2 linked regions of the Neodiprion lecontei genome follow. The protein of the gene in region 2 binds, or shares a complex with, the protein of the main gene of each other region. Links are inferred from orthologs where the notes say so. Each region holds a gene or a part of one and is shown on either strand. Other genes may lie near its edges.

Region 1 (4,805 bases), on a different chromosome or scaffold from region 2:
TTCAATTTTTATGACACTGTTATTCCTCTCTACAGACTCTCTAATAAAACGGCATTGCAAGGAATTTTACAATCCACTTTGGTAAAGTGAGAAATGAAAAAATTATAGTCAGGATTTAAAATGTGAAACTCAAATTTTCGTAACAATATAATACTTATGAAATCATTTGCCACGAGTGTTTTTCCACGAAATTTGTGGGTATAACAATTTTTTCGACCCCGAGAAGACATAGTTTTAATTAACTTAAAGTCAATTGACGTTAATCGCGACTTCGAAGCCTTCGATTCAGCGTTTGTAATTTCAATGCTTTACGTCCAGAGTGCAGCTATGTACAATTAGCCGATAAGTTTAAGCCGTGATAGATAATTGATAAAATACATTCCAGCTTGCGTAGCTACGGAAAGTCAGGTAGGGCGATGCCTACGTCACCGTAAGAAGGCACAAAGGCAGCCAGACAGGAAAGTGTTTCTACTACGTATAATCCAACTCACTGTAAGTCGCCCAGGTGTTTATTGCTTGATGCAGCAGCACGACACCGACGTCCAGTACTGTCGCCGCATACATACCATCCGGAATTTAGGCGGCACATGCCAGGCGTGTCAACAGTATTAATAATGATGATAATGAGTTGGTACGTGCGTCAGAATGAAAGCGAACATCATAATAATCACTCAATTAATAATCATAATAATAACAATGATAATCGTTGGCAACAACCGAATAAGAACAATTGGTAGGGTAGAGCCAATCGATGCGTCGGGCATTCATTGTTTCGATTATTTGTTACCCGGAAATATCGTGCAACCCCGTTACAGTACTCTGTATGTGTCCTATTAACGACCAATATTAATTACCCCAATGCTCAATTGCTTTATGCATATCGGTGGATAATCGTTCAATACTCAATTACTTATTCCGTCTGTGAAATTCAGAACAAACTTACTAAACCATTCAATTTATCCTTTTCCTCGAATCGAAGTACAATTCTACTGTACAAAAAAGAATATATTACGTCATAATGTTGATAAAATCGTGATTTTGGATTTCAAATTTCGAACTCTGATCAATCGTTCTTGAATCTTATCGTTCGTTTATTCTTATCTCGATGAGCGTCAAGTTCGTCCTCGTCGAACAACCGCACAGCAGCAACGTAAAGTTTATTAGAATTGTTAGGTCTAGTGGCTCGGTTTCACAGAAGGCAGATTGCGATAGCATCATCACGATTGATTGGAAATACCAGAGGAATTTATCATGCGTACCTCCAATTGTCGAAATCGAGAATATATAAGATACATAGATTATCCGGCCGGCGAGCGATAACCGTTCAACGATTGCGCAATCCCAGGCAACTCTAACTGCGATACCTAAAGGCATTGCAGCACATTTCAGTGTGACAATAACAATAATAACAACAACAATAATAATAGTAACAGCAATTTCGCTAGCAAATATTTACGTAGTGCAATAGGTGTTTATAATTGCTTGTGGCGAAACCGGTGAAAACATCAAACCAAGTATTTCTTTGTGTTACAAATATTACAGAACTAATATATTTTAATACTAGAATTAATTATAGACAGACGCAGCGACAGATAGTCTTCGATAGCTTTTCAACGAGTTTTTCAAACAAACGACAATTCGACCGATGCGCGTCTGTTTGCCTCGGGTAGTTGTTTACAGTCTGATTCTCACACCGAATTCTGTTGTCTGTAAATGTGGCGATGCCACAAAGAATTTTTTTCAACGAGACTGAACTTATCGTTAGTAACGTTAACGTAACGAAACATCAGGGGAAAAATCGTTACGGTGCAATATCTGGATGTCTTTCCAGGAGTTGGCTTTTAAAAATATGAGCATGTTCTGTTTATCACGGTTTATCAAAATTCAGACGTTCCTGAAGATGCGGAGTAACGATTTCTTCGAAACATGCATTGTTACATTGACGTTACTAACTTCATCCTCGTTTTTTCAACGCATCCAATGATGTATTATGACGACATAGGTATACGTGCATTGGATGCTTAGAAACTACATGTCGCGTTATTTACCGCCATCAGGGAATTTCTTGTGTAAACTATATCAGAGGATATAATAAATTTAAACCACAATAATCGTATCAACGTATGAGAAAAAAGAAGAAAAATACTATCTATGAACTTTTAAACAGTCGGCCGTGTGCTTGTACAGAGAAACCAATACACCGCAAACTATTTATACATATAATAATCGTATAGCATGTAGGTGTGAGTAGGAAGACGAGGCTTGCTGTGCCTGACGAGACGGCGGAATATAATGGGGAAAGAAACAAAGTGGGCTCCTCGTCTCTGGTCGTCTCTCGAGGGAGGGCAATGAACGACGATCGAACGAAACGGACGTGCAGATGCAGGCGTTTGTCCCTAACTCCATTCGTCCGCTTCTTATCCGCGGGGGAACGAGTTTGCCGGTGAAAAAAATGGGGAAAACCCGATTCGAGGACGAATGAACGGACGAGTGAATACTTATTCGTACGCGATTTTATCGTGAGCTGTATACGTGGGGGAGACAGGACGCTGGCGACGAGACAAACCGTTGTGAATTTTAGAAACCCACTCGCTCCGTTCGATTTCACGGCGTGCATCGATGAGAGCAGCAAGGAGAGGAACAAGACGGCACGCGTAAAATCGATTTCTACTTATACGAATACGCTTTGTATATGTATTGTAGTATATATGCATGCGCGCGCGCGCGCGCGTGTTTGTGTACGCGTTTGTACACATGCAAGATCGTACGTAAAATAATTGTTGCACGGCACGTTGTGTACGGTGCAAAATGGCTAATAAAGAGAGAATGAAAGATAGGAGGATGGTTCAGGTGGTTAGTACTCACCTCAATAGCCATACACATTGAATATGGAAGGAACGGTAAGGTGTCCGTTATTAAAAACGAAACTCGAAAAATTGACAACGTATACTATTAACTCGCACGCGACCGTACGCCGAAAGAGCCCGTGGACAACTAACTAAAATGGCTGAACCAACCCGACGACGGCCATGAGTCAACGAGTCTGGTGTGATATACACTATGCGCCAATATCGATGCGCGCGAGACGTGGCGGCAGGGCGATGTCAGGATTTTAGATGAATATTTTATAACGTCACAGAGGAGTAATTGGAAGCTATATTGATTCCAAACATTTTGCGCGTATGTATGTTTGTATGTGTGTCAAAGTGCCCTGAGAATATGGTCATAGCGTAGGGATTACAATGTTGATTCGAATTTTCGCGCCGTCAGAATGCCCTTAGAACATGGCGGAATGAAATAAAAATCATCAAACTGTCTCCTTTGGTTATCCCTACTCTGTACCAACCTTATTTTTAGAACATATACTACTGGAAGTGCCATCCCATCGACCTTGCAAACATTGCGGCCGAGGTGAAGAGAGAAAATATATATTCGAGTTCTTCCGTCTCTTTTACTCTGCATTTGATTGGCTGAGGGGATGCGTATCGGCCAATCAAGTGTAGAGCGAGAGAGACAGATTATAACCATAATGTTATACCTCTTTATCACTCCTTCGCTACACTTTCTGTACCATAGACGTATAGAGATAGACTGCGCGGTCCGTGCTCCGATCTGAGGCCCTAATTAAAAAGAGAAAGCAACAGCGGGAGCTGACCTCTTTCTTGCACGGTCGAAAGAGTGAGGAGAAACTGGCAGACGGTGAAAGCAATAAGCACAAACGGGGAGGTATATTTGTACTTATTCCCCCGCCACATCACCGATTAGAGTGAGAGATCGGATCACGCTGTTGGTTTCTCTTTCTAATTAGGGCTTCAGCTCGGTGGACGGCCCGCGCAGTCTATCTCTATAAGTCTAACGCACGAAGCTACGTCCAGTAATGTATGCTCTAAGGTACCAAAGTACCGACCACGTTTCTATGTATAGGTATACACATTGTTCACGGAGAAAACGACACAACTTCGCGCAGGTTGGGCGTAGTGGGGTCTCGAACTACTCAGTGATGTGCTAAATCATCGTACAAATCGTACAATTTGGTCCCTGCGTAAAATACGCTTTGGTCCCTACGCTCTGTAAATGGAATTGGTGAAACACTTCGAATATTGCACGGTCATTGCATAGTAAACATATTTAATAACAGCTACACAACAAACTTGTTTCATCGATCACTAATAATAAAATGTTCCAAATCACGTGTGAGTCGTATTATGTACACGGGCTCTCCGTCTGGCTTCAGCCAGGTTTAGCCAACTATAAGGCCCATTTGGCGGCTTAAAAGAAGTAAATAAGGCCTTCCGGTAAACGGGACCTAACCGAATCAGAGAAAATTGTGGCAAGTGCTGTGCCGTTTTTTCCGTGAACAAGATGTAGAAAACTTGAAGCGCTTTTCACTGGCTACATTTGGTGCACATTGAGTGCAATTTTCCTAGGGTTTTGCTTATGTGATTAGTTGAAAGCTGGGAAAATTGTACTCACTGCACACGTAATGCAGTCAGTGAAAAACGCTATTAAGCCGCTATTTTGTACTCAAATGCCGAGAAGATAATTCGATTGGTTGCAGAGCGTTCGAATTCGATGAACCAATCAAAATTCCAAAAATGATGGATCGATTATCAAAATAGAGCATGGACTGTTCATTCTCTATACTTTTTATAGTACGCCTAATGAAAGCAGAACACACGTGTAGCCAATCTCAATTTTTATCGGACTCCGATGGTCCTGCAGGTAAGAAAGAGATAGGTAGATTATTGGGAGCACATACGTTCTGTCTCCTTGTACGGTGGGACCCATTTTCCAACATGTACCCA
Region 2 (4,588 bases):
GAATGCACAACGTTTCATCGAAATTCGGTTAATCTACTTACTTCATTAAACATTAACCTACTGTTTGGCTATTATTTAAGAATCGTCGATGGCGTTCAATGAAGTCTTTAATGAAAACATTTTCCTTTTTCAGATTCGTTAATTTGTCGTCTATTAAAATCGAAGTGCCGAACGAAGAAATTCAATCTCTCGTTACAAATTACATTTCATTCATCTCGAGTTTTCACTAAAAGCCGAAAACGCATACAAAGCCTGTAACGCCAAGTATTTCGTTAGAATTTCGTAGACAGATGTAAAACTTTGAATTTCAAATTTCAGTTTCTTCGGAAATTCGTTAAAATTCACTAGCTCACTCATTTATTGTGAATTAATGCGACCACCACGTACGATTATTGCAAGCTTCGTCTTCGCACTTTGCAGCTTATCTCTACTCGATGGGCGTGACCATAAATTAATTCATAATAAAATTACTGAAATCATTTCAACGAAAGTAACAATTGTTATCCTCCATTTTCTGGGCCAGATATCTCTAGACGCTGCGTAGTAATTCTATTCTACAGAGTGAACGATCGAGGGGGAAACAGAAAATCGATCCAAAGTCTTGGTCTGGCTGCATCAAACAGCACGGAGAATTTCCCCTTCTGGATAGTGATTTCGGTCGGTAAAGTAGAACTGGGCGACGGGTGGCCTCAAAGTTGAGAACGAGGAGGAAGAAAAAGAAAAAAGAAGTGGACCGTTAATACCGGGAGTTTACTGCGCCACAGAGAAACGATGAAGAAGAATTCTCGCTCATTCGCGTTGTTGGTTAAACTGAAATCGTATTAGATTATAACACGTGCGTTGCAGCCATGCATTTATACGTCGTGAAATGCAGTAACGTGTACATAATATTCATATATACGATGATGTTGATAGATGTTGAGTTACAAATAAAACAAGTCTGGGGCGTTCGATTTCGCAATTAAACAAGTTAAGAATATAACAGCGACCACGAATGCACGCTACAATCTCTATATTAATGGTTATTTGTCTCATCGTTGACGTCTACGGGTCGATATTTATAATCGACGACTCGGATATTCCTTGCACGTAAATAAACAATGGGTGATACAATAACGTAACAAGGATTTTTACACCATCGTTTGAATCAACCGCCCATACCATGGTTAGAACGAAGTTGGGACGTGATAAATTTCTGAGGTTACTTGCAATATCCGAAACGTTACGTTATGCAATACTCAGAGACGTTTATTTACATCGTTTTTGGTATAAGCGTGGGTGAAAAAAATTTCTACAGGATTAGACGCGCGTTACATAAATTCGGGAGAGATTGGTAGCCTCCTCTTGTTGTGTTATGCTGCAGATTTCTTCTTGACCGACCGATGTTGTCCTGATTACATTTCTTCGAATTTGTTGTCAGTCGCTGATGTTGATTGGAAATCGAGTTTCCATCTCGCGCATGAGCTGCTACCGAATATCACGGCCAAATTCTAATCGTAATTATAGCTTTATCTCAAACAGCTACGAAGCTCTTAATGCATCGTCAACGTTTTTATGTCAGATGGGGAACGAAAAATGAAAATGAATCAAAGCTTTAAAAAAAAACTGTGACCGAAGTGAAACAAGTTTTGAATTTAATTGAACGAATATCGGAAGAACAAACTTTATAATAACACCCTCGAATGGAAAAAAAACATTCGATTAGTCCAATTTTTAAATATTTATCAGATCGTTTTGTCCAGGAACGAATCATCTAGAAACTGTGTACTAAGAATGAATTTCACGTTCGTCACAAAATCATTTATTATGCAAAATGATTATTGCAGGTTGCTGTTGATAACTTGTTAATTAATGATTAATATAATTGAAGATTGATTTCAGACAATTTTTAAAGAATCTACTCGTAAATCGTGAATCAGCCCTGACACATCAGAAACGATTTTTTCATCCAACCAACGGAGCAACAAAGCAACATTTCCGAAAAGATAAATAACTGAAACAATCTCAATTGAATTCAGATGGATAAAATTCTGTTCAACTTTCATAAAGCTTGATATTGTCACGTTCTGTGACGCATTTTTAAACTCTGCCGAATTTGACAATTGGAAACGTAATTCACGGCGGTTCGATTCTGAAACGAACAATCGACGATCGAAGAGTAGAAAAAGAGGAGAAAAAAAAACTGACTCGCGTCATCGGTTTTAAAACTGATTCAAAACTGCCAACGTAACAGTTTAATCGCAGCCACACTCGGAGCGGCATAAACTGCTGATAAGTGTCTGTAATCTCTCGATGGATGAATATTCGTCGGAAATGGAGAGGCGACAGCTAGCCGAGATATGAAACGAGTGGTAGCGTATAACGTGAAATTAACAAATCGAATGTCCCGCTACGCAGCGGCGGTTTTTTTCTAAGAAAAATACGACGACGAGATATAAAACGAAAGAGAGACGGAGAGTGGATATGCCACATTGGCATTCGCCGATTTATGATGAAGAATAAATAAAGCGCATGTTTACTTACGATCGGTCGTATAATATGACGGAATAATCCGCGCCCAGGTTAACCCAAACATGTTGAAGGCGTGATTTCCGTTGGAGGCAAAAATAGACGGTCGTAACCTTAAATTGTTCGGGTTGTTGATAGTCGATCTCGTAAATAGCACGGGTTCCATCACGGTCGAGTGACACTTGACGTAGCTGGTTATTCCCATTGTAATTAACCTCACAGTAACTTTGGTCGAGTGACAACACCAGGGGAAAATCTTCGGTAATACCGGCGCCAGTAACCTCAATATAGAAAAGTGAATTACCGGGCTTTGGATTTGCTACCGAAAACTCCGACGGCAACGACGATTCGTCGACTAATTTCACCGAGGCGATGCTAACCGGCTTGCCGGACACTCCGAGCGCGTTGCCGCTCGCTAAGTGAAATACTCCGATAGTAATAAATAGAATAAAAGTTGTCCGAGCTCCCGAGTTGATAACATTTTGCGCCATCGTGCGAACACGGGTAACGAGCAGCAACTTCACCTCGGTAAGGATTAACGCATATACTTATAACCTTCGTTTCGGACGGTGCGCCTGCGTAGCTGGCCTTTACGCATCGTCCAGAAAACATCGACCTATTCCGTCTACCTATCTCTCTCTCTCTCGGCCCCTTGACGCCCGGCCACCCTTGACGCCTTTGACCGAGGATGCCGGTGGTCATTATCATCGCCGTGTTAAGCCCACGTTCAAAACACGACGACTGGATCGAAGCGATTGATTGCTGGAACTACTCGATAGCGATGCGATACGAATTAACGTGTGTCTGTGTATAGTTTCAGAGTCGCAGCGATTTGAAAATCTTATTCTTATCCGGCGGACGCCAGTTGCTGATAATCCAATCTTACCGACGGAGTTACTTCCATGGTAATGCAGCTCGCTCGGTAAGGCGCGAATTCAGGGGATATTGACGGTTAGTGTTCATGAATTTCTGCAGGTGTCCGGTGCGCGAATAATGGACCTCGATTTTTCAGTATAAATTCAGGTAAATAAATATCTCATATTTCTATACCGTCGCAGCAGCAATTTCATGTGGTAAATATGTTCTACATTATCTGCTGTGGTGGTAAGTACGGATCGGTGGCAGAAATTTATTTATCGCTAACCGATGATTTCATGAATTTATTTTTTTGCAAGTAGAGTTATTTGGTTTGCGGTTTGGTTTCTACAAACTTTAAAGAAATGAACTTACTTCAAGCATCAGATAATTTCGTTGATTCAGCGTGTTTAAGGTGAAATTTTTATTGCGGAAAATCACGCCGTTATAAAGTTATTTTTCAGCTAGTAGCTGTAAAAAATATTCGATTTCCTCACTTATTGTCTACTTTCAAGGATGGTACAGACATAAATTTCAATTTACAGTAGCTAATATATTTTACTGCTGAAGCAAGTAATGATATATTTCTTACAGTCTAGATTGTCAACACGCAGCGATTCCAAGAATCATATCTTGATGGCAAAAATAAGCTAATGCAAACTGTTGAGATCCGAAGAACATTTAAGATGACGATCGATGATCGTAGATTTTACTGACCATTTCAATCAAAGTTGCACAACATCCAACCCGAAGGGCAAACGCAGTTCAGGTCATTTCTATTTGGCCTAGAAAGTGGATGGATCCGAAATCCAAATCCGATCTGGCATCGTAATATTTCGGTGTAAGGTTGACACTGTCTCTGGGAAGCGAAGTTACCGATATCTTCACGACCGGATTCACCGAAGATCAAGCCTCTCAATCCTCCGATGAACTCAAATTTTCAGATCGAAAAATATGTTCTTTCTCACTGTAATGTGAAAATCAATTCTATTCTAAGTGACGGAGAATTGAATTATTTCATCACCTACAGAGCCATTCGTTTTGATGAAAAAAAAAAATGTTGTAATCGAAGGCAAGATTCTCGAAGAATTTTCCGCGGGTATCACAATTCTCCCTGCTAATGCGAAAGAAGTGATGAAAACTTGCGAAGAAAAATCAGCTACATTTGGATAAAATGTTATTTTTCAATATTTGCAAATGTGTGCGTAACTTTGAGAATATTTGT

The links.
Region 1: the proteins of unextended protein (region 2) and PRL-1 phosphatase are in contact, whole or in part, in a crystal structure (PDB 8CT8), measured with the Drosophila melanogaster proteins. The link is inferred for Neodiprion lecontei from reciprocal best matches to the Drosophila melanogaster genes uex and PRL-1. Residues at the interface, in NP_001104390.2 of Drosophila melanogaster: Leu391, Val422, Thr423, Lys442, Cys445, Glu446, Gln449, Asn450, Pro451, Phe454, Phe456, Asp458, His480, Val482, Asn484, Gly488, Asp489, Pro490, Phe491, Tyr492; in NP_001260487.1 of Drosophila melanogaster: Asp32, Ile33, Thr34, Ile35, Asn36, His37, Asp77, Gly78, Cys109, Ala111, Leu113, Gly114, Arg115, Arg142, Arg143, Gly144, Ile146, Asn147, Gln150.

The regions. Positions count from the first base shown.
Region 1 is NC_060261.1:13,155,007-13,159,811, reverse strand, and holds the start of PRL-1 phosphatase, read right to left. Parts: upstream 3,016-4,805; 5' UTR 2,866-3,015; intron 1-2,865. UniProt on the Drosophila melanogaster protein: Probable phosphatase. Inhibits growth possibly by negatively regulating Src64B-induced growth. Regulates central nervous system circuit formation and stabilization of synapse-dense terminal arbors.
Region 2 is NC_060262.1:6,544,740-6,549,327, forward strand, and holds the start of unextended protein, read right to left. Parts: upstream 3,034-4,588; 5' UTR 3,000-3,033; coding exon 2,524-2,999; intron 1-2,523. UniProt on the Drosophila melanogaster protein: Probable metal transporter. Acts downstream of PRL-1 and protects the nervous system against olfactory carbon dioxide stimulation.